Linked DNA regions of Canis lupus familiaris. The protein of the gene in region 2 interacts with the protein of the main gene of each other region in a pairwise test. Links are inferred from orthologs where the notes say so. Each region holds a gene or a part of one and is shown on either strand. Other genes may lie near its edges. The genes, in order: CTNNBL1 and CDCA7L.

The links.
Region 1: the proteins of CDCA7L (region 2) and CTNNBL1 interact in binary tests that used the Homo sapiens proteins (3 or more experiments, as listed by UniProt). The link is inferred for Canis lupus familiaris from reciprocal best matches to the Homo sapiens genes CDCA7L and CTNNBL1.

Annotation. Positions count from the first base shown.
Region 1 is NC_049245.1:26,844,823-26,856,898, reverse strand, and holds part of CTNNBL1 (beta-catenin-like protein 1), read right to left. Parts: intron 6,331-12,076; coding exon 6,142-6,330; intron 2,399-6,141; coding exon 2,292-2,398; intron 1-2,291. UniProt on the Homo sapiens protein: Component of the PRP19-CDC5L complex that forms an integral part of the spliceosome and is required for activating pre-mRNA splicing.
Region 2 is NC_049235.1:35,868,265-35,880,340, forward strand, and holds part of CDCA7L (cell division cycle-associated 7-like protein), read right to left. Parts: coding exon 12,010-12,076; intron 6,708-12,009; coding exon 6,570-6,707; intron 2,598-6,569; coding exon 2,223-2,597; intron 671-2,222; coding exon 599-670; intron 484-598; coding exon 313-483; intron 1-312. UniProt on the Homo sapiens protein: Plays a role in transcriptional regulation as a repressor that inhibits monoamine oxidase A (MAOA) activity and gene expression by binding to the promoter.

The DNA.
Region 1 (12,076 bases), on a different chromosome or scaffold from region 2:
CAATATTTAAAATAATCAAATTTGAAAAATAGTAAAAAAAATCATGGTATCTCCACATCATGAAACACTCCATACCAGTCACAAAAAATAAGGTAAACATGCATGGAAAGATCTTCTGTTATGTAAGTAAAATCATCAAGGTTCAGAATATGGGGCGCCTGGATGGCTCAGTCAGTTCCACGTCTGCCTGTGGCTCAGGTTATGATCCCAGGGTAATTGGATGGAGCTCCATGTCAGGCTCCCTGCTTGGCAGGGAGTCTGCTTCTGTCTCCCTCTGCCCTTCCCTCTTCTCCCCCTCTGCCCCACGCAGCTTGCTCTCTGTCAAATAAATAAAATCTTAAAAAAAAAAGGTTCAGAATAGGTACAGTATGATTTAGGTAGGGGGAAAAATTACATATATAAATATATGTATAGAAAATAATCTAAAAGAATACTCACAGAGACTATCTCCAGGTAGTGGAATGGAAAGGGGGTCTGTGCAATGAAAGAGAACTTTCATTTTTTCCTTCACTTTTGCACTGTTGTTTTTTATAATGACAGTCTATTTGTGTCTTATTTGTATAATCAAAACACACACACACACACACACACACACACATCCATAGACACAGACACAGTGCAGTATGACAAGTGCTATTATCTGGTAGAGGTTAGGACTGATCAGTCCTATCAAAACTGATAGGACTCTGGCGTTGGGAAGGCTGAGCTCTGACTGAGCTACTCCTCCTGTTAAAGAGGACTGTGGCCTGGGTGGGTCCAGTAACCAGGTTCTCCTCTCTCCATACCTCCTCATCTACAACACAGAGAGGACATAATGAATCACATTAGCCTCACTAGGTTGCCGTGAGGACTCTATATTCTCTGATACCTCTGTGCCTTTGTTCATGCTAATCACACTGCCTGACAGGCTTTCCCATGTTCTTTTCTGCCTATTAAAATAAAAATCATTCTTCAAGGCCCAGTTCAAATACCACCTCTTCCATGAAGCCCTCAATAGCCCCCAACCTGGTATTCATGGTTTCTTTCCCTATGCTCCCACAGTGCTCTGCTTGTATCTTTTTTAAAGTATATTTCCTTCTACCCTGCATTTATAGTCAGTCTCCCTAGTAACCTATAAACTGGAGTACAAAGACTGTACTATTCAACTCTTAATTGCCTAGGGGCCTTGGGCCTATTAAGATTCATTAAAAGTGTATGTCCTGGGAGGCAGAAAGACAGGGAAGGAAGAGAGATTTACAACATTAAAATCTGTATAAATATGAAAATCCCTTTAGTTAGAATTCATTTTTCCCCCTATCTAAATCATACTGTACATATTCCACACCCACATGACGGGTGATCTTCCCATGTCAGTCCTGTCAAGATGAACTGAAAAATACCAGATTCTTCACAACAGCATCTCACAGGACACAGAGGTGCTGGTGGAGGCAGCAAGCACATAGATTATCATTTCATGAGCACTTATTGTGTGCCAGCCAGCCACCGAGCTAAATAAATGCCATCATGCTCACCGAATCTTCACAACAACCCTGTGTAGGCGGTATTATTTCTTTGTACAAATGAGACATCTGAGGCTAAGAAAGGAAAAGTGACTTATTCAAGGTCACATGGGAGTCACACCCATATCTGTCAAACCGAAAAGCCCTTGACATTTTCTCAACAGAAAATCTATCATTAATGACAGGCATGGTGAGTTTTCTCTGCACCTTGAGAAGAATAACGCAGAAAAGAGTTAACATAGCAGACTTGACCTTTAGAAGAGTCTAGTTCTAGTCTGGTACTTGGCTTTTGAAAGGTCCCCTAAGTGGTAAAGGTGTTTTGCCCAACTGGAGCAGCACTTAACATCTGCTTTCCTTCTGGGAGTGCAGAATTTTGATAGTCATTGCTGACAGAGAAGGCCTATATAACTTGTCCTCAATAAATATATCCTGGACTCTTAGGTCTCAAATGTGCTTCCCTGGACAGAAACACTGCACACATGTTGATGCATTTCACTGTTGGGAGAAAGGAACATGTCTGCATGTAACCCAGTCAGAGAAAAGATAGGGAGCCTAAACATGAATTTCTCCAGACTGTCTGACCTTTCTCTCTTCCTGATCCTGTTGTGTGGCCCCGAGTACCATGACTCTGAGCTCTATGAGTCTTTCCAGTGATTTCCCTAACACGTGGGTCATTGTGGGACTCCTGACATAAAGCACAAAAACCAACGCAGGCAAAACAAACGAAAAACAAAACAAAAACAACAAACAACGCATAGAAGGAAAGAGGGTATTAGCAAGACAGAGCCTTACTTTTCTGGATTGTCTGGAAACTTGATCCGCAACTCTTGGTTTTTGTATGATCTTTTTTCAAATGTAAGGATCATTTTCTTCACTGAGCTCTCATCTAGTGGTTCCTCCTGGTATAAAGGGAACAAACAGCAACAATTTTAGTTCAAAGGGATTTCTTATTCACTAATCACTACTTCTTTTCCATGGCTTTTAGCCATTTGCCACTTACCTTTCTGGGTTAAATATACAGTACATACTTTATCTTCCCACTAGAAATAAGGTTAAGGATCTAGACCACATGCTATGTTATATCACTGTCTCACAACTAACTCAGGAAGCTCCATTTAAGGTTTTAAAGATTAGCTCATTCAACAAATATTTCTTGAGCATACTGGATAGCATGTACTAAGCAACAATATTAGATAAGGATTATTTACTATTTACCCATCTTTCTCCTTGTTGTAGAGATAATATCCAAGTTTAAAAGAACTTGTTCAAGGTCAACACCTGAGTCAGTGACAGTGGACCTCAATATTTTCTGCATGCCAAGGATCAGCAAACTCCTGACCATAGGCCAAATCCAATGCATGGCTTATTTTTGTACAGCCCATACCATAAGAAAGATTGTTAATTAGCAACAGTCACTGCTTGAGTTTCTTACACATCACTGTTTCGGGTCCTTATTAGCTGCTGAGAAGGAAATCAGAGAGGTACTTGTAGGCCTGATATAGCATCAAGAATTTAGTAACCACACTCAGGAGAGGCATAAAAACTAGGAGACCATACAGTTTTCTTATTTCAAACACTGGAATAATAACTACAAAGGTAAATAAAATGAATTTTTAAAAACAGAATCATCTCCCCCCCAAAAAAAAAAATCTACACTAAAATTTCAGGAACGTCTTCTCTTCTGTTTCTTTTTGAGGTTAAAGTCACATGCTACAACACTCTCTGCCTCTCCAACGCTCAACTCCTGGCATCACAGCTTTTGTGACCACTGACCACAACTCACACCTAAAAGTAATAAAATTTTTTTTTTAAAAAACCTTGCTATTAAGAGAACCAGAAACAGATCCTTTTGGAAAGCAATGAACCATCCCTAACATGTTAAGTACTCCAAAGTGTTAGCTATTACTTTATTAAATTTCAGTGTCAATATATTGGGTTTTAAGTAGGAGTTATCTATAAATTCGTTTTGGGCATGACAGATTTCTTAGATTTTATCAATGACCCCTGGCCACTGAGGGCCTCTATTGGACTCCCACCCCATCCCCAGTATCTACAGCTTAAAGAGAATCTTTACAAACTAAACTCAGTGCCCTGGGTCAGTCAGGACTCAGAGTGGAGCTTCACTACTTACTAGCCATGTGGCAATGTTACTTTGCTGAATATAATCCTCAAGCTGTCACCAAGTCCAACTGACCTTAGGAGTCTTTCTTGAATTCATCCACTTGGCATTCAGAATAAAATTCTAAATCCTTCTCATGACCCAGATATGGAAAAGTCTGGCAGGATCTGGCCCAGACAATCTCTCCAACCCCAAACCAGAGTAAACATCCCATGTCCACTTATTCACTATTGACTCTCCAGTGCCCATCACAGTGCCTGGCACACAGCAAGTGCCCAGTGAAGATGTAATGGAGGAAGGAAGGCAGGTAGGAAGAGAGGGAGGGCAAAAATATACCTGTCTCTTTCAAGGTCAGGGAGATGACCTAAAGAGATGAGGTACATTAAACTGTTTTTACAAACTAGAGGATGCTATATTAACCTAAACCCTTATTGTTGCTACTATCAACAGGCACAATGTACCCAATGTACTACGAGGATTTCACTAAGTAATTGAAATTTTTAGGAAGGGTTAAATCATTTTCAAGTAACCCCAATCTCCACTTCTTGTCCTTCCCTAACATTTTGCCCACCCTGTAGAAAAAAAAACATATTAGCGTTGATACAGCTCTCACAGGATGCCCCAAATCTTGGCCTCTCAGGGTTTGGCCTTCCCTCCTTTAATTTCCCTCCAATGCTGGAGTAAAACTGAATTATCAGTCTTAGTCATCGACCACAGCAGTATCTCCAATAGCTCAACGTCAGAAACCAGAGGGAGATTTCAGAAAGATGAATGCTGGTGATGTAGCACAAAAAGGACAATAATATTTTACAAGTCCACGTGACTTTACGGGGGCAAACATCACTTGTTTTTCATCAAACGGGACCTTGGTGGCAGTGAGAAAATAACTCCTAGACTTGTAGTCTTCCATGTGTCATTTTTACAAAGCGATCTCTTTTTCCCTTGTCCCCTAACAGAAGGCCTGGTCCCACACTACATTTCTGTCTCCTAGGCTAGAAACCACTTACCCATGACAGCTACTATCCTAATCCTCCAGTACCAGCCTTGCCCTACATGGGAATTATACCTGCCAATTAACTGCTGCTGCAGGGCTAACAGATTGAGCAGAAGCTATTGGGGGGGGTGGGGGAGGCAGGGAACAGGGAAGGAAGGAGGGAGGATATGCTACACACACTGTTTGTCTAAGCCTAGCAGGGCTGCTGCCCTTAGAGAGGAAATTCAGGACTGTCTCCCACCACAGATTTCCAAAGCACCACCATCTTTTAGGGGCAGATCCCCAAATTAGCACTGCTAATTTGGGGATCCTAATGAGGAGAGAGTTATTGTCACAATATAGTAAAGACCTTTTTGGAATATGAATCCATTTTTTTCCCTTCTCAGATTCACACTCCAGCTTCATTTTTTAAATCCAAACTTAGCATCATGTCTTTCAGGGAACCAAAAAACAGCTGGCTCTTAAGAATCTATTTCCATAATTCATATTGAACAAAATGCCAGAGTGAAATAACATACAAGTTAATACTTAAGGATATAAAAAGACACTTAGGTAAGGTCATTTTATTTTTAATCACTGGTATTTTACCTCTACTCTTTTTAGCTTCGTTCATTTATTCATTCAATAAATATTTATTAAGGGCCTACCAAGAGTCAGGCATTGCACCGAGTGTTAGAGATACAGCTGTGAACAAAACAGAGCCAGTCCCTTTTTCCTAAGAGGTCAGGGAGAGAATAGCAAATGAGTAAAATAAATAAACCAGGATCTCAGATCATTGTAAGTGCTGTGAAGACAATATACTGATCGAAGTGATAAGAGAAAGAGAGAATGATTTACAGGGCTACCTCAGAGATAGGAAAGGCTTCTCTGTCTCTGAGGAGGAGACATCTGAACTGAGACCTGGATTTCTCAGTTCAGAAGAAAGCTGTCTTGCAAAGCATTAGGGGAAGAGCATTCCACGAAGGGTACAGAAGTAAAAAGGTTCAGCAGTAGGAACGAGTATGCCTTAAGGCACCTTGAGGAACAGCACATAGCACTTCTTTTCCTAAACTGTATTTTTCAATTACACCTAAAAAGCTAATCTCTTAGCTCCACCTTTGAACTTCTCCACCTTTGTGGCCTTGCTAATGACATCTCAACTGAAAAACCTTCTTCCACTAGTTTGATAAAATTCTACTCCTCTTTTAAAGATTACTAACTATACTAAAAAATGGACATGCCTTCAATGTGTCTAGTCTAAGAATCCTTCTGACCCTGCTCAGTCAATAGCAACAGCCTCACAGTTCAGTGCTCAGGCCTCGATTATGACACATAATCCAGAATAATTTAAAAACTCTATCTATAATGATCTTTACACTTTGAAAATGCTTCCTGACTTTATTATTGCATTTCACCTTCATGTTAATACTGTGCAGTAAGTATTCTTAACCCTATTTCACAGATTAAGGTGAAAAGCTCAGGGAAAGCATTTGGCATAAAATGACCCTCTACAGATATGGTGTCACGGCCAGCCTCGTCTGCCACCTTACCTCTTCCTCTTCCTCCTCGCCCTCTCTGTCAATAATCTGAAGCAGTCTCTTTTTGTCATCATCTGCTTCTTCTACCACCGTCATTTCCTCTTCCCGATAGCGGCCACGGTCTCTGGGACCAGCTTGTCTCCGACGCATTTTCAGCTCTTCCTCTTCATCATCCCGGGGACGTTTTGTGCCCCTGTTGGGCTGAGAAAGAGAAAAAAGAAACATAGGATTCCAGAGCTGGAAAAGATCTAGAAGGGCATACATAGCAGCCATTCTAAAAGCTTTCAAGAATTCACTGATGAAAAACTCCATACAAAATGGTTTCTCTCACAAAATGAAGCCAAGTTCCAAGCGGTCATTTTTTCAGACCTGTAGCAATTTTATAAATACAGGACTGATGTCACCTACAAGGTTGTTGGCTTTTTTTTTTTTTTTTTACAGAATTTAAAAAATATGCGTAGTTTTACCACTTCACAAAAGTTACTGTACATATAGAAATCACAGGGAACACAGCCACTCTGAGACACATTCGGCTCAATTTACTAGTTATGACACAATCCCCAACACTAATCCCTCTGCACACGGTTGTAATTCATGTCTAAGAAAAGACTACAGTCACTCACAAGTTCTCATGGAGAAGATTACACATGCAACATCCAAGGGGCTACTGCACTCCGAAGTCCTACTTTACAGAAGAGCAGGGTAGAAGAAGGCCCAGAGGTAGTATTACCCAAAGATGCAAAACCAGCAGCAGAACTGAAAACACAATTGACACTTCCCGACTTCTGGTCCAGAGCTCTGTCTGCCCCACTGTTAGGTCCTCAGTCTGCCTTTGACACTGCAGTCCATGGAGGAGTTCTTAACAGTGCCCTTCTGTTAAATTGGAATAAAATGGGGGCACTACCGAAATGGCCTTCAGAGCTAAGGAGAAACAGCACTGCACCAGGGCTCAAACAGCTCAAATTACTACTGGTACAGCTCTGGGCATGTCATTAACCTCTCTAAACCTTTGTTTCCTCATCTGCAAATAGCAAATGGAAATTATAACCCTTTTCCTTGTGAACTTCAAAGGATGCTTCTCTGTGTGTGTATATTTACCATTCTTTTTCCAGCCTTACTGAGATATAATTGACATATAATGCTGTGTACATATGTCACTGTGTACATATAACAATGTATTTGATTCATGTATATATTGCAAAATGATTACACATAAGTTAGTTAACACTTCCATCACCTCTCATAATTACTTTTTTTTTTTTTTTTTGTGATGAGAACATTTAAGATCTACTCCCTTAGCAACTTTCAAGTATACAATACACTTGTTAACTATAGTCACTCTGCTATCTGATGGATTCCCAGAACCAGAACTTATCCATAACTGGAAGTTTGTACTAAAAGGTTGCAAACTTGAGTGAAAGAACGCTAAATAAAAAAGAGGTGCCTGGGTGGCTCAGTAAGTTAGGCGTCTTGCCTTCAGCTCAGGGCATGATCCCAGGGTCTTGGGATTGAGCCTCCACATCAGGCTTCCTGTTCAATGGGAGTCTGCTTCTCTCTCTTCCTCTGGCCCTCCCTCTGCTGGTGCATGTGCAAGCACTCTCTCCCTCTCTCTCTAATAAATAAATAAAATATTTATAAAAAAAGAATGCTAAATGATTACAGTACCAAACAAATATAAAAGATTATTACTATAAGGTAATCCACATGATTCTGTCTCCCTCAACACATTTGTGCTAGGCTCAATGAGCTTTTCTTTTTATATTATGATAACCACACACACAAATAGTGTGCTAGGTGCGATATGGTTTATTAAGACCAACAGAAGAGAATGCCACATTTGCTGCCAGCCTGCTAAGTTGTTTCATGGTAATAAGAGACAAATTTCTACTATACACATTACATATCTCACCTTTTGACTTATAACCCATAATGCTACTGAGTTCCACTATTCCAGTGGTGCAAAGTCACTCCTCACTCCTCTCTATATTCACATACCCTGCTGGTTCCACATACCAGGTGCGCCAATAAGTCTAAGCATATGACATTGCTTAGAAAACTCACATTAGACAATTTGGTTTGTAGGCTACCACCTGCTATTTTTCACTCTGCTCCTAGCCTCCATAAGATAGATTACAATTTCCTATGATAACACTCTACTTGCATAAATACAAAAATTAGAAGAATCTATTGTCATCATCACTGGTCTGCACTTAGAAAAACAGGAGAAAAAGAAGAAAGAAATCAACATGCCAGTTACCATGGACCACAAGAAAAAGGAGGTTGTGGTGTTCATGCAAGAAAGGAAGGAAAGGTAGCTTGATCCTAAAGGAGGGCAGGCTTCAAACCAGAAATCTGTAGCTCCCCAGCAGGTAAGAACTTTAGCCCCCTGGGAGCACTAATTCTTTCAGGCTCATAAAATGAGCCCTGCTGCGATTCTGATTAGCGTTGAGCCTGCTGCAGCAGTCAAATCAAAGCATGAGTTCCACAGTTCTCCACGGAAAGGAGATTTCTGGATTGTTTATCTCTGAGGGCAGACAGAAAAGCCAGTGGACCACAATTAAAAGGAGAAAGCTAAATACCGCCACACTTAAGAAATGCAAAACTGAAAGAACATTGTCAGTGTCTCTTTGGAATACATCTTCCAATCTTACGTCTTCCAAACTACTATTAAAAAACAAACCTTTTAGAGCTAGGGGAGGAGTTTCACTTTTACCTCTAATAATTTCCACTGAAAATGCACTTTCCTTCTGCAGAACTTAAAGCACCTCTCTTAATCTTCACCACACCTCTGGGGAAGAAAAGTAGGTTAACAGTTTTATTTTCTAAGCAGGGAGGCGGGATGCCTGAGATCCTTTAATAAACTCTTGCAAAGACAGTCTTGTCCATTCTCAAAGGTGAACCCGAACTCTCGGAAGTTTGCTAATCCAGGTCTTAATTCCAGGACCCTCACTGAGACAGGTTCAAGGGACTTTCAGTCAAGAACCTATACCCATAAATATAAGTCATGTAAGACCTCAGTAAAGTTAAAATGATAGTTGTTAAACCATTAGTTCAACAAATAATATATTAAAGAAATGTAAGGCTTGAAGGGTCTTCAGGTAATAAGGTGGCCCACGGTAGTCCCAGGCTTCCATTTGGGTCTTGTCTAAATGGTGACACGGGCACAGATAGGGCCAGGATGGATTCTTGAGAAAAGAACACCTTTGTTAATCTTTAGGAATAGTCTGAGCACAACATCCCTAAGAGGGGAAACTCTGGTTCACAAACTGTTTTCTACACCTCCCTTCTCTGTTACACAGGGCATTCAGCTGGAGTTCCTCTCATAACAACTCTCCAGCAGAGCAGAGCCAAAGCCACTAGGGTCCTCTGCCATGGTTGCTTCAGCAACATTATCAGCTCCTGCCTCCAACAGATAGGTAAGCTGTTTAAAGGCCCCGAGATATTTTGTTTCAGCAATTCTTTTCTCCCAAGGCAGGATTTTAAGAATTGTTGTTCTTTTCAATAAGGGTTGTCTCTTTTTTAGATACTAACACTCCCAAAGAAGTTTCTACTCATTTCTGAATCTGACCACTCTGAAGGATAAAGGTTAGGATTCATTTCTTTGACAAATATTTACTAAATGCCAACTAAGTATAAGGCCTATGCTGGTGACTGGGGACATAAATGTGAATAAGACAAATGCTACTTTCCTATCAAGGGGCTTAATGGTCTAGGACATAGTTACCCAATCAAAATGAAATGGAAATCATAGATGTAATTTTAAATTTCTTAGGGGCCACATTTTAAAAAGTAAAAAGCAGGTGAAATTAATTTTAATGTTGTTTTAATCTAATATATTTAAAATATTATCATTTTAAGATGTAATCAATATTTTAGAATTACTAATGTGATATTTTACATTTTTTTTCATACTCAAGCTTCTAGAGTTTGGTAGACTACTTTACATTCAGAGTGTATCTCAACCCAGACTCAGCCCCATTTCATGTCCCAACAGCCATATACTGCTAGCGGCTATCATATTGGCTACCACAGGTCTAGAGGATTTTCATCTGAGGACTTCCTGTTCCCTGATAAAGCAAAATGGAACCGTCTTTCCAACAACATTGTATAAAATATGGACTAAGAAAGCTTAAGTACTGTTTGTGAAAGGTCCCCACAAAAAAAAAATCATGAAGCTAACAATATCCTCACCTGGAAATAAATAAATGTCTACATTATATTTACCAATATTTGCTACTGAGAGAGTGATCAGTTACACAAAACAAAGCAAGAATACATAAATGGAGAAGAATCTCAGAGCTGTCAAACCAATTCCACTATAGAAGAGCCAAAGAGCTCTGGATTCAGGAAAGGAATATAACACTCTTAGCCTGTCAGAGAGGTCAACAGCTCACACATGAGCTCTCCTTGTATCTTACAAAACCAATCCCATGAGGATTAAGCCATTCTTACCAGTCACTTTTGGAGATTAATTTGTTTTGGTATCTGAAAGGTGTTTGGAATCCCTCAAGATGAAGGAATGACAAAAGAAACTGTTCCTCATAAAGTCATTTCTTTGTCTCTGCTGCCCACAGACTAGAGAAAAAATGATTAACTCTTAACTTCTGATGTTCCAGAACATCAGCCTTTAAGGATTTAAAAAATCTTCTACGTTCCCTGCCTTACTCCCAATAGGTAGTGAGCAATATAAATGCTCACTAAGCATTTGCCACCGTCCAACCACACAGTTGGTAGCCTTTCTAGGTTACATAAAAGATTTCCACTTGTTCAAAGCTTATAGTAAGCTTCAAGATTATATATAAGATGCTTTTACTTTCCAAAAATCTTGAAGCCTATTATGTGTGTATGTGTGATGGATGATATATATATATACATCCCCCTGGAAACAGATATCAAGACATCACCACAAAAGCTTGGAAAGAGTTAAAAAATTAAATAAGTAATCTGCCTAGGATACTCCCTGCGTACCCAGACAATATCCAACCTAAGCTGTAGGTTTCATTTTTCCCCTCTCTCCCTCTCTCTATTTTTTTTTTTTAATTAAAAAGCAGTGAGAAGCTGTAGCTATAATGAGGAGCTGTGGGAAAATGCAGTTATATTGGGCTCAAAGTAATGTACCATAGGAAGACGCTACATCACCAGAACGAATCCTAAATTAAAACTCCACTATGAAACCAACTCCATTTCCTCTGAGCATGCAATCTATATTATCACATTTATGGTCTTGTCTCGACCTCAATTAGACTTGGGGGTAGGGGTGGGAGAAAGGGGCCTTCTATAATAAGCAATAATGGCATCATTATGATAAATTATGAAAACACACAGCACAATTATTAATGTGAAAGCACATCTATACCAGGATATAACAGTGGAGATGTGTATGGGGGGGGGTGTCTAAATAAGTTCAGTATTCCAAGTTACCGGCTTAGGAAGGTAGTGATTTTTATAAAATGTACTTTTATGTTATTGGAAGAAAAAATATGTTCAATTCTATTAAAGGATGGAAAAAGTCAAAGGAAATCTTCTATAACCTAATAATAAACCAGGAATGTTCCATCTAGTACCAAGAAGCTTCAGAACTTCAAAAAAGGGCCTTCCAAAGGAGCATAAAGTATTATTTCCTAAATATCAAACAATGGGGAAGACTTAGAAATTTGAGCTCAAAGCGATAATCTAATTTATACCTCTCTTTATAGACAGGGAAATCTAAGCTTAGTGGCTCTAAGCAATTTGCTTGTGATGGACAGTAATTCAAGGCTTCTAATTCCCAATATAGTGCTTTTCTTTTCCTACTTTGCAATACTCACTAGTCCTTGCTAACCTATTTGCAATTGGTGATATCCTATATGGAGAATGAGTTTTGGAGTCAAATTTTCCTAAATTCAAATCCTAGTGCCTCTAGTTAGTTAGCAGTCCTGTAAAGTAACTTACCCCCTCTAAGTTTGAA
Region 2 (12,076 bases):
GCCCTTTCCCACAAGGCAAATCACGAGGCCCTCGGACGCCACCGACAGGCCCTTATTGCCTCCCTCAAAGATTAAGCTGAGGGTCCTAACTCTGAGCAGCTCCTCTGCTCAAACTGAGGTAAAGGAGTCTCTCCAGCCTATAGCTTAGATGGGGGGAAGGGAGGGTTCTTCCTGGAGTGTGGCCCTGGGAACACGAGCACCACCAGCACCACCATCAGCAGCATCACTGCTCAGCTGCTCCAGACATACCAGGTCAGGACCTCAGTGTGGCCTTAGACAAAGCATAATATGTTCACTGTGCTCAGAAAATACCCCACTAATTGTCTTCCTCCTCCTGAAGCTGTAAAACTCTTCTGCAAATTTGGCTGCTGAGACGGTGAAGTTCTCCAGGGCAAACTTCTCGGGTGGCCGTGCGCTGCGGGTCGGGTTTGTGCGTCGCGTGATCTGTCCCTCTGAGAAGGCCCGCCTCGCTGTTCTCTTCTTCTGAAAGTCAGAGCACAGACATACGCAACTGGGTGCTTCCTGGAACAAAAGCCATCTGGCGACAGATTACGTCCAGCAGCCTCGGGATAAAGAATTATAAAGGCATTCTACTTACAGAAGCTGAGTTCGGGGTTCGTACCGGGAAGAAATCTGGCATTGAGTTCAGTTCTGCCAGTAACTGGGCGAGCTGCAGTTCAGAACAGAAGAAGGACCGACATCAATATGCCTCATTCATCTAACACCTCGTAACACGTCTTCAGTTTTGCCAACATGAGAAACTTGACTAAAGTAGTTCATGTAAGATCGCAACAGCTGTTTTATTTTTAACCTCATCTGTAAAGATTGTTATCTCCAGGGGTGAGAGGCTACTATCATCATTCATGGGAATAAAATCTATGCACGTTCCTTACATATAAAGATCGTATCATAAGATGAATGGGTCCTTGGAATGATGAGGCTGGCTGCATGAGGCTGGAATTCTGACGGGGCCATTAATTAGCAGTGTGACCCCAAAACAGATCATGGTGCACACCGAGATCAAGTTTCATCATGTTCAAAACAAAAGGTTCAACTAGATTGTTCTGATAGTTATTTAGAGCTCCAAAGAAACTGTTTATGTTGATTCATTTCTCATTAACAAAAATAATTTATGGAAATGTTCCCAAATAAACACCTAAGAATACCAACTAACAGGCATTAATACGCCAATGAAGATTTTTTTTTAAGATTTTATTTATTCATGAGAGAAAGAGAGAGAGAGAGAGAGAGAGAGAGAGGCAGAGGGAGAAGCAGGCTTCATCCAGGGGGCCCGACGTGGGACTTGATCCCGGGTCTCCGGGACCACACCCTGGGCTGAAGGCGGCGCTAAACTGCTGAGCGACCCGGGCTGCCCCAATGAGGATTCTTTTTAATTTTAGAGTTATACAGACGTGTAAGTGTCACTCAAAACTCATGAACATAGTTATTTTAAAGATGCCGACACAGTGCTAAAAATTTCCCTTTGCTAATAACCATAAATATGCCTTAGGGTGAATTTTCACTCAAAAGTGAAGCTTTTTATGTTCTTATTAGACATAGAAGAATACACACACACTATCATATTGTGCTTTTTAAAAAGAAAGTATTAAAAATCTACCAAAATGCTAACAGTGACTGAGTGGTAGAATTAATTCTGCATATGCAAAATTAGGAAGCAAATATGTTACTGAACAAATACAGAAAAACCAAATACACATGACAAAGGTTTCCCCTTTACTGCCATTCATCCTAGCAAAGATGGGTTACTGTGGCTGAAAACCACTCAGTTTAGTACCTAGGCCTCTCTCATTCTCCCGTATGACGTCCTGAAGCCCCAGCACACACTGCGGTTCTTAAGTGGCTTCTCGACTCCCTGTGTACACTTGGCTCCTCCCTGCTGGGAACCGGCCAGCGGTCCGGCTCTGCTCTCCGACACCACCACTATTTAGAACTTCTCTTCATAGCAAACGGTAAGCAGCATGAGTTCACGGCACCAGGAAGCGGAGCTAAAAGTGGTCCTGGGGAGTCGCTTTCTGATCCCGAACCAGAGCCGACCAGCTAATAACTGGTTGGGGTCCAGAACACAGAAAAGGACACCCGATGCCCAGAGCACATTTCCCGAAAGATGCGAGGGCAGCCGCTCTGGGGGCGGTTCTGTGAGCCTCAGGAGCCACTGCTCAGTGCCCGCACCCAGCGCCCGGACTGCCCGCCCACGGCCTTACCATGGCTTTGTTCTCCTTGATGTTCATGGTCCTTTTCAGCAGAGCATCCGAGCCCTCCTGAGCCTCATCCCTGGAGTCGTCCTCAGACTCTGAGACCGAATCTTCCCTTTCCTTCCCCTTTCTGCAGCTTCTCTTTCTTCCAAGAATTGCTTTTTTATTGTCCTGTAAGCGTGTGCTAGAAAACAGTGGCTCCGAGGAACTGTCATCTGACTTTTTCGTCAGTTTCTTGGTGGGGAACTGAAAGGCGACTCGAAGACCAATGCTGCTTCTCCTCGGCCTCCTCCTTCTGGGTGTAGCCTTCTCTCCTTCATCCTCTTCCTCTTCTTCACTCACCAAAGACTCCTTACCAGCATCACTCAAATCTGACTCCACGAGCTAACAAAAGGAGAGAAAAGGAGAAAGACTAGAAACAATGTTTCCTAACAGACCTTCAAAAACACCTTACTTAAAAGCACTCTGGGGGCACCTGGGTGGCTCGGTGGTTGAGCACCTGCCTTTGGCTCAGGTCGTGATCCCAGGGTCCTGGGCTCGAATCCCGCCATCAGGCTCCCCCAAAAATAATAAATCTTTTTTTTTTAAAGCACTCTGACATTATTGTAGAGAAAAAATGAGAAGAAAGCTCCTCTTTCCTATTCTGAGTTCCCACCGAACTCTTCAGTTAGGCGCTCGGGTGTCTGCGGGTGAATCCGGTCCAAGAGCCGCTGCCTCCCGCGGCCCGGTGCCCCGGCCACGACCACCGGCGGCGGCTCCTAGGAGCGCGGGCTGGACGCGGGGCGCCGACAAAGCAGGGCTCCCCCGTGGGCCGGCCACGTATTATGGGGAAGAGCCAAAGAAAAGGGAATGCATGGCCTTAGAGTTATCTTCAAATACAAATGGAGTGCTGAGGGGGAAAAAAATACTGACCATACTGCCCCGAAGAACAGGAAGAGGATTCATGGGCAGGAGGGACAGGAGGGACAGGAGAGCCGACTTCACCTCAGTGAAGTGACAGGAGAGCAAGCAGAGGACTGGCCATCGGCGTCAGTGGGGGAAACTCCTCCCAGGACATGCTGGGTCCTCACTCCCAGGGATATCCCTTCTCTTTTCTGCAACCCGCAGAGCCGCGGGGTGAAATCAAGGCCGACAGCTCTTGGGCTGTTGTGAAGCACCTGTTCAGGCAGCCCAGGAAATTCTTGCCCTGAATTTTCTAATTCTGCTTGGTACAGGTTGCTGGCACTAAAACGGAACCCAGCCTTACACGTGAGACACAGAACATAAGGCAATGGCAGGGTGGGGACATTACCCAGGTGATGAGGGGGTGACATCTCAGATGTGAGGGGACGCTTAGCAATGGCAGAGCTGGGCTTGAACATTGAGATCAAGGCCACCTCCTGCGCATCTTTCCTTTACTACATGCTGGGAAGTTTAGTCTGAGACCCTCTGTCAGGGATTCTGGACAACAGGGCTGCTCTGAGGAGAACAAGGAATAGCCCACGATGGGCCCAGGACTGAGGTAAAGGACTCAGCTGCCCCCTCCGTGAATTCGCCCCCCGAATTCTAGCTTGACTCAAGTTAAAAGTAAGGCAGAGGAGGGGCGCCCGGCTGGCTCGGTTGGTGGAGTGTGCAACTCTTAATCTCAGGGTTGTGAGTTCAAGCCCCACATTGGGCATGGAACCTACTTTAAAAGAAAAAAATTCTTTTTTATAAAATTTTATTTATTCATTCATGAGAGAGACAGAGAGAGAGGCAGATACACAGGCAGAGGGAGAAGTAGGCTCCCTGCGGGAAGCCCAATGCAAGACTTGATCCCAGGACCCCGGGATCACAACCTGAGCCATAGGCAGAGGCTCAACCACTGAGTCACCCAGGTGCCCCAAGAAAATTTATTTTTAAAAATATATTGAGGCACCTGGGTGGCTCAGTCGGTTGAGCATCTGACTCTTGATCTCAGCTCAGATCCTGATCTCAGAGCCCTAAGTTCAAACCTTCTGTTGGGCTCCACGCTGGGCTGGAGCCTACGTAAGAAAGAAAAGAAAGGAAAGGAAAGGAAAAAGGAAAGGAAAAGAAAAGGGAGAAAAACAAAACCCTTCATGTAACTACCAAACCTTGGTGTATATATAAATCCACAACAAGCTAAGTGGAGAAGACTATAGCGTTATTGATTTATCCTTTTGTTTGTTTTTTAGTATCCTGAACTTTCTACACTGGTAGCTTTGGAATGCAAAACGATGGGACTGGAGGAATCCAATTTCAGAAAGTGTTGGAGAACTTCAGAGGAATTCTCTCTCAAATTGGTTTTATTTATCTTCATCATCCCCTAACCCGTATCTCTTTCCTAAGGACTCTCTGAAGGACTACAGTAGGTGAGAGCAAATATAAAGACGGGAGGCAAAGAACTCAAGGGCCGCACCACTGCTGTGGTAGCCTCATGTGTGGCTAGACCACCAGACACCAAGTGACATCCTAGTATCAGAAAAGGCAGTCTCCTCTGCCTTCACTAGGGTGAGCAGGAGGCTGGGGAGGCAGGCAATAATGCTTATTTGTCCACTGAATTTTAAAATAAAATCTGCAGGGGATCCCTGGGTGGCCCAGTGGTTGAGCGCCCGCCTTCGGCCCCGGGCGTGATCCTGGAGACCCGGAATCGAGTCCCACGCCGGGCTCCCGGTGCATGGAGCCTGCTTCTCCCTCTGCCTGTGGCTCTGCTTCTCTATCTCTCTCTGTCTCTCATGAATAAATGAATAAAATCTTTAAAATAAATAAATAAATAAAATCTGCAGGTGGACCTGCCCAAAGATATGAGTGACAGTAGTCAGCATGTCCCAATTCATACCCTAAATATACAGAACATTAAAAAAAAAAATTCTGGAGTAGTCTTCACTGTGCTAGAAACACGGATCCTTTGAATACCCTGAGATCACTTAGCTAACAATCAGAAGATAAATAAGTCACTAGGAGTAGAAGATACCCATTAAGGATTTGGAAGGATTTTAGTGCTTTGCTGGCAAGGAAAACTGTGGAGCCCGGCTGGCAAGAACACATCAACGGCCTTACAAGCAGCTTCAGTAAAGAAAGCCAAAGGAGGGCTGGGGCCTGTAGGTTGGCAGAGCTCTGTGTTGCTATTCCCGGGGGGATCAACATCAAACAAGGCAGCCTACCATTAGGGCTTTCAGGCCTAAGCTCCCCACCCCGCCACCCTAGGAAAAGGTGAGGAACAAAGCAAACCTACTAGTTACAGCTTATTTAGATTTCCATACAAGTTCCACACCAGACGGGGTTCCTCCTTAGGAGCTTCTGAACGTGAAGAGGTTTAACCTCTATCCTTTATCCTGATATCCAAGAAGGAGATGGTGGACTGATTTGGGGGGATAAATGTGTGCTATTTTTCAGTTAGTATAAAATACTTCTATGCCTGGGGAAAACAACCCAAAGGCTGTTCTTTAAAGTTACGCGGAGATTCAAATACTAGTTGGCAGCACAGAAGCCTAAATCTATGCAGTGAAGGAAGAAATCCCCAGTCTCCCGAAAGGCAAGTGCTGAGAGCACATTTCCCTCAGGAATCTGACATGGCCAGGCCATCTTTATCATTTAAAGAGCTTTTCTTTTCTTTTCTTTTTTCTTTTTTTTTCTTTTCTTTCCTTCCTTCCTTCCTTTCTTTCCTTTCTTCCTTTTCTCTTTCTTTCTTTCTTTCTTTTTTTAAAGATTTTATTTATTTATTCATGAAAGACACACACAGAGAGAGGCAGAGACACAGGCAGAGGGAGAAGCAGGCTCCATGCAGGGAGCCCAATGTGGGACTCGATCCCGGAACTCCAGGATCACACCCTGGGCCGAAGGTGGCGCTAAACCGCTGAGCCACCTGGGCTGCCCTAAAAAGCATTTCTGCATCCAAATCAAGAACACACAGGGAAAACTCTTTGTACCACAGCTCAGTTTGGGCCAAATTAACTCCACACTTAAGAACATGACTTTGCACACAAGAAAGGACTTGTAAGAACTTGCTACTCCTAGACAGACGGTCCTCTTTTCAGATAAAAGATGTTTAAGAAAAAAAAAAAAAAAGATGTCTAAGAAAGCCTGAAATAAATTCTTTCACGAGGACAATTAAGGGACACCTGAGACATGCGCCCACCCCGGGAACTCGAAGGTACCAGGGAAAGACAAGTGGACTTCCTCTAGGAGTACGATGGACTGGGGGACCAGGGATTAGCCTAGACTAGCATTTCTCAATCTCGGTAACCGGCTTCTAAGACACACACACGTAAGAAAAAGTCATTGGTTTGGGACGTGACTCCCTCCGAGTGAAACTACAATTCAGGAGCAGGACTGAAAACAGGAGAACCCGCACTCTCCCACGTTGAGGATTATTACCATCACTTCTGGGTTACTATTTCCATTCAGCTCATTCTGTGTAAATCCTTCAAACTCTTCCATCTCTGAGTCCGTGTCCTCTATAAAAATCCTTCGCAGCTCTTCCGTGAAGTATTTGGAACGGAAACGCACATCTTGCTGCATTAAAAACACGCAAACATCATAAAGGAAGAAGACAGAGGCTTCCGGGGGGCGAGGGGGCAGGGAAGGGCTGTTGAACGGGCAGCGTCTGTTCGAGGTGGGGGAGCACCCTGGGTGACGGGGACCCCGCGCGCGAGCTCAGCGCCACCTGGCAGCTTGCCCGCAAGAGCCTGGCGCTCGCTCGCACTTACCAGAGGCTGAAACGGTCAATTGTAGGTTATGTGTATTTTACCCCAGTGCACACACGCGCGCACACACACGTTCCTCTACAGATTAGGGAAACAGAACTGAACAATCTGAGACGATCAACTGCACCACTTCCAAATGTCAGAACGGCCCAGGCTGAGCCAGCTACTTTGCTGCCTTGTGGGGGGGGGGGGGGGGGGGGAGAGTGGGCTCCATTTCTCCTGCCAGGGCCCCCGGGGAAGGTCGGGCACAGCACCGATCCCGATCCCGATCCCGAGCGAGGCTCCCTGCCGCGCGCTGGCCTGCCCTCCGCGCACCTGTCCAAGGCCGACTCCCCCGCGTCGGGAGCGCACCTGCCTGGCTCTCTGCGGGAAGGGGCCGGAGCCCGCCCCGGCCCTCCCCGGCCCCCGGGACAGCCTCTCCTGCCTCTCCTGTGGGAGGTGCGAGGCCAGCAGCCCCCACCAGGTAGCCAGTGAGCAGGAGGAAAGACGTGCCAGGACCCTTAAAAAAGAAAGACATTTTCAAAGGACTTTGTCTTTTGAACCCAGAGAAGGAAAGAAACCGGGGCTCCGTAAATGGCACTCCGGGAAGAAAGGAGGGGACAGACAGACCTGCGGTGTGGGAAGGAGACGCACAGACCAGCCTCCTCCAAGCTGGCAACCAGGGCTGGAGTCCGTGTCCCCAGTTGCCTCTGACGCCTCTTCCTCCCACACCCGATATAGCAATGACCCCCCATCACACCACATTTGGTTGGGGAATCTTTATCTCCCCCACTGCCTCTCCCTGACTTTAATTATATACTTCTTCAAGCTCAGATCATCTCTGGAGAAAAACAGATATAATAGATGAGTGGGAAAATTTACAGGGGGATAGAGGAAGAAATGCCTATATCCAGCATTTTCTTAAGCTTAAATGTCTCCTATGAATTATTATGGGTAATTGGAGTGAGTGTGCTTGGAGCTAAATTACTTTGTCCCTTTGTTGATAGCTGTGGTGCAGCTGCTTGGAAAAAAAAAATACAAACAGAAAAGAGAAGTTTCCTTAAAGTGAAATTCAAATTGTGTTTAAGGAAGACCAAAGTCAACGTTGTGGCATACTCCATACAAGTTTGTGCAGCTCCTCTTGGCTGCTTAACACGGACTGTGAATGTGTGGGGTCGGGGTGGGGAAGCAACAGGCCTGGGGTTTATTTTTGTAAGGAAGACTGGTGCACAGCTGGCTGCCGCAGAAACCCACCATGAAGCTGCTAGCTCCACCAGCAGGAAACATCTGGCTCACAGAGCCCAGAGCCGGTCTCTACAAGTGGGTTTAGAGCAATGGGGGTCTACGTGTACATTTCCTCATATACCCATTGTCCCTGCCTAGGGCCCAGAGAGAACAAGTCACCTCTTAGAGCAGCAAGTTCTAACCGTCCAGTCCTCTCTGGCTCTCTTTTCCCTTTGAAAAGCTTCACAGGGAAATAAATGGTCAGGCTGAGAGAAATCAATATCTTTGGTGACCAGATAGAACACAAAAACAACTTAGCCACAGTCCTAAACCAAGGCCCCTGCTTTTCCTCTCCTTATTCCACAAGATATAAGAACTGAGCCTGGGCGGCTCAATCAGTTAAGCGTCGGACTCCTCATGTTAGCTCAGGTCTTGATCTCAGGGTTAGGAGTTCAAGCCCCACTGCGGGCTCCACACTACATATGGAACCTCCTTGAAAAAAATGAAAAAAAAAAAGATAAGCACAAAAAACCATGCTTACTGTGAGTCTTTATAAAGCAAAGTATCTATTCCACAGTCTCATTGCAATCTTGGTTACAACACTCACATAGCTCTTTGCTCTCCAGAATTTGCTATCCTTTCAAATCAATACCAGGCAGTATGTTCTGGACCTTGATCACCTATATCTATCTACCATGATCAAGAATGTAAGACATTTTCAAAGGACTTTCTGTCTTTTGAACAGAAAAGTGGTTAAAAGAGTGGTTACACTTTTTATTTGGAAGCTCATGTGACGTGAAGGAACAGACAGGAAAATGATGGTGAGCTAAAAAGAGTGAGACAAGCATCCCACCTCAATTCCACCCCATGGGTACTCATTTACCAGTGGGAGCTGAGCATATGGAACATGGGGAAAGGAAAACACGAGTAAGCAGTCCAGCCCAAGAATGCTAGAAAGCATTGTTCAAGTATGAGGCGCCTCCCATTGAGGAGGTAACAGGTTAGCGGGGCAGTGGGACAGGTCCACAGTAACCACAGTCAGGATCTTCGTTCTAAGGGAGATGCAAGCAAGATGGCATATGGAAAGAAGGAAAGAGGGGATCCCTGGGTGGCTCAGTGGTTTAGTGCCTGCCTTCGGCCTGGGGCGTGATCCTGGAGTCCCGGGATCGAGTCCCACATCGGGCTGCCTGCATGGGGCCTACTTCTCCTTCTGCCTGTGTCTCTGCCTCTCTCTCTCAGTCTGTGTTTCTCATGAATAGATAAATAAAACCTTTAAAAAAAAAAAAAAAAAAAAGGAAAGGGAAGGAAAGAAAAGGAAAGAAAAGAAAATTCAGGAAAACTTCCAAGGAGCAGCAGCATTTGAACTGGATCCAAGCCGGGGTGGACTCTAGAAGAAACGAAGAGAAGACAGATAAGCAGAACAAAGAGCACAGACCAGCATATACACGGGCAAAACCAGTGCATGAGGAGGGTGTCCGTGAGGCTTCTGGTCCACCACGCTACAGGGGAGTTGAAGAAAAGAAGAGGCTGAAAAGCGATGCTCCCAGATTTCAAACATCCCGGCCACACGCTTCTCAGATGTGGGGGCTGAGACAAGTCCCTTCGCTGCTGCCCTGAGCCTGTGTCATCCCCTGTGAAACAGGGACAGTAACAACACCGACCCTGTCCCTGGGGAGGTGCCTGAACTCAGGGCGAGCTGAATGAAAAGCACACGGTCACAGGCCATCCGAGGCACGCTGCATCACACCTGGCAGTGGGGAGCAGGAAGGGGGGGGCTTGAATGCACAGAAGTAGCAGGGGTCAGAGCAGCAAAAGCAGCTGCTTTGGTTTTAAGTTTTTGTTTTTTTAAGATTTTATTTATTTATTCATGAGAGACACAGAGAGAGAGGCAGAGACACAGAGGGAGAAGCAGGCTCCATGCAGAAAGCCCGATGCAGAACTCGATCCCGGGTCTCCAGGATCACACCCTGGGCTGAAGGTGGCGCTAAACCGCTGAGCCACCCGGCCTGCCCATTTACAAGGTTTTTTGTTTTTTGTTTTTTTTTTTTTTTGAGCACAGGTGACACACAGTGTTACATTAGTTTAAGGTGTACAACACAGTGATTCACCTTCTTGATAGTGTGCTCACCAGTGTAGCTACCATCTGTCACCACACAACTCTGTTACAGTATCATCAACTACATTCCCTATGCTGTGCCTTCCAACACCCCCCGCCCCCCACAGTGACATACTTCCTGTGTAACTGGAAGCCTAGACCTCCCACTCACCTTCACACACTTCACCCGTCTCCCCACACCTCACCCATCTCTCCAACTCCTCCCTGCTAGCAACCATCAGTCTATTCTCTGTATTTATAGGTCTGATTCGGCTTTTTATCTATTTTATTTTTTAGATTCCACGTGAGTGAGATCATATGGTATTTGTCTTTCTCAGACTTACTTCACTTAGCTTAACACCCTCTAGGTCCTTCCATGTTGCGGCAAATGGCAAAAACCTCATCCTTTTCATGGCTGCATTAATATTCCACTGAACACATATTTAGCATCTTCCTTATCCATTCTTCTATTGATGGACACTTAGGCTGCTTCCCTATCTAATCATCAGGAAAACGCCCATCAAAACCACAATGAGGTATCCCCTCACACCTGTCAGAATGGCTAAAATAAAAGACAACAAACAAGTGTTGGTGAGGATGTGGAGAGAAAGGAAGCCTCACATACCACTGGTGTAAACGCACACTGGTACAGCCACTGTGGAAAACAGTAGTAGGGAGGATCCTCAAAAAATTAAAAATAGAACTACCTTACGATCCAGTAATTTCACTAGCGAGTATTTACGCAAAGAAAACCAGAACACTAATTTGACACTTACGTTTATTCCAGCATTGTTTACAACAGCCAAGATATGGAAGCTGTTTTGTTTCTGGATGCCCACTGCACTGCTGGGCTCCAGGCTCAGCTCTTCACACACATGCTGCGCTGCTCAGAATGCCCCTCACGGCGGGTCCACGGGCTCTACTCTCCCTCACTGCCTGACCATGCTCAAATGGTTTCTGAGTAAGGCAAAGCTCACGGCCAGACCTTAGTGCTGTAACTAAGGTAAGGGCCATGAGCATCAGGGGAGCTGCAGGAGGAGGCTGGAACACACAGGCAGCCAAGTGATCAAGCAGGCACTTACACTGTATCATAAAGTGCTTCTAGAACCTCCTACACTTGCCCAGTTGAAGCAAGGTGGGTTTAATTTACAGCCTCTTGAGAGAGGCTACGGTCCAGGGAGAATGAAGAATTTTGAGAGCCACAATGAATGCAGAAGAAAATGCTACAGAAAGCTAGCTATTTCGACTGGCCATACCACTGCTAAGGCATAATATAAACCTCCAGGAAACTAACTCTCAGAGAAACGTAATTTGTGTTTGCCAGAGATCAAAGTAATCCAAGAAAGAATAAGGCTCTCCCCGGCAATTCCAAGAGTAGGGTGTCAATGGAAACCCGCTATAGGAGCACAGGGACACGACTGTCTCGTGGTAACCACACGTTCCTGCACGGCACTGCGGTGTGGACGGTGGCTGTGCAGGACCACCTCTCCCCTCCCAGCCACATGGGAGCACTCTGAATACAGCCTGGACACAGGCTGCAAGCCCTGAGGTTACAAAGGAAATAGATCTGATCATGTGAGGCCCTCTTTATTAAAAAAAAAAAAAAAAAACTATTATAGAAAGGGCTTAAACAGTAAAAGTGATCTAGGTAGCCTCATTGGTTCTTAAAACATGAAGCAAAACACTTATAAAATAAAATGCTCGACAATTAACTGCTATCACCAATCTCAGACCATATTCAAATAAAAGAATATCTGAACCAAGATCCAGGCTTCCAGAAGACCGTGCCTTCCATGAAAGGAAGCATCTGTACCTGTTTCCCTGATTCCAGTGAGTCAAAACTATCACAGCTCTCCTCTGATGAGAGGGTTTCCATGGGA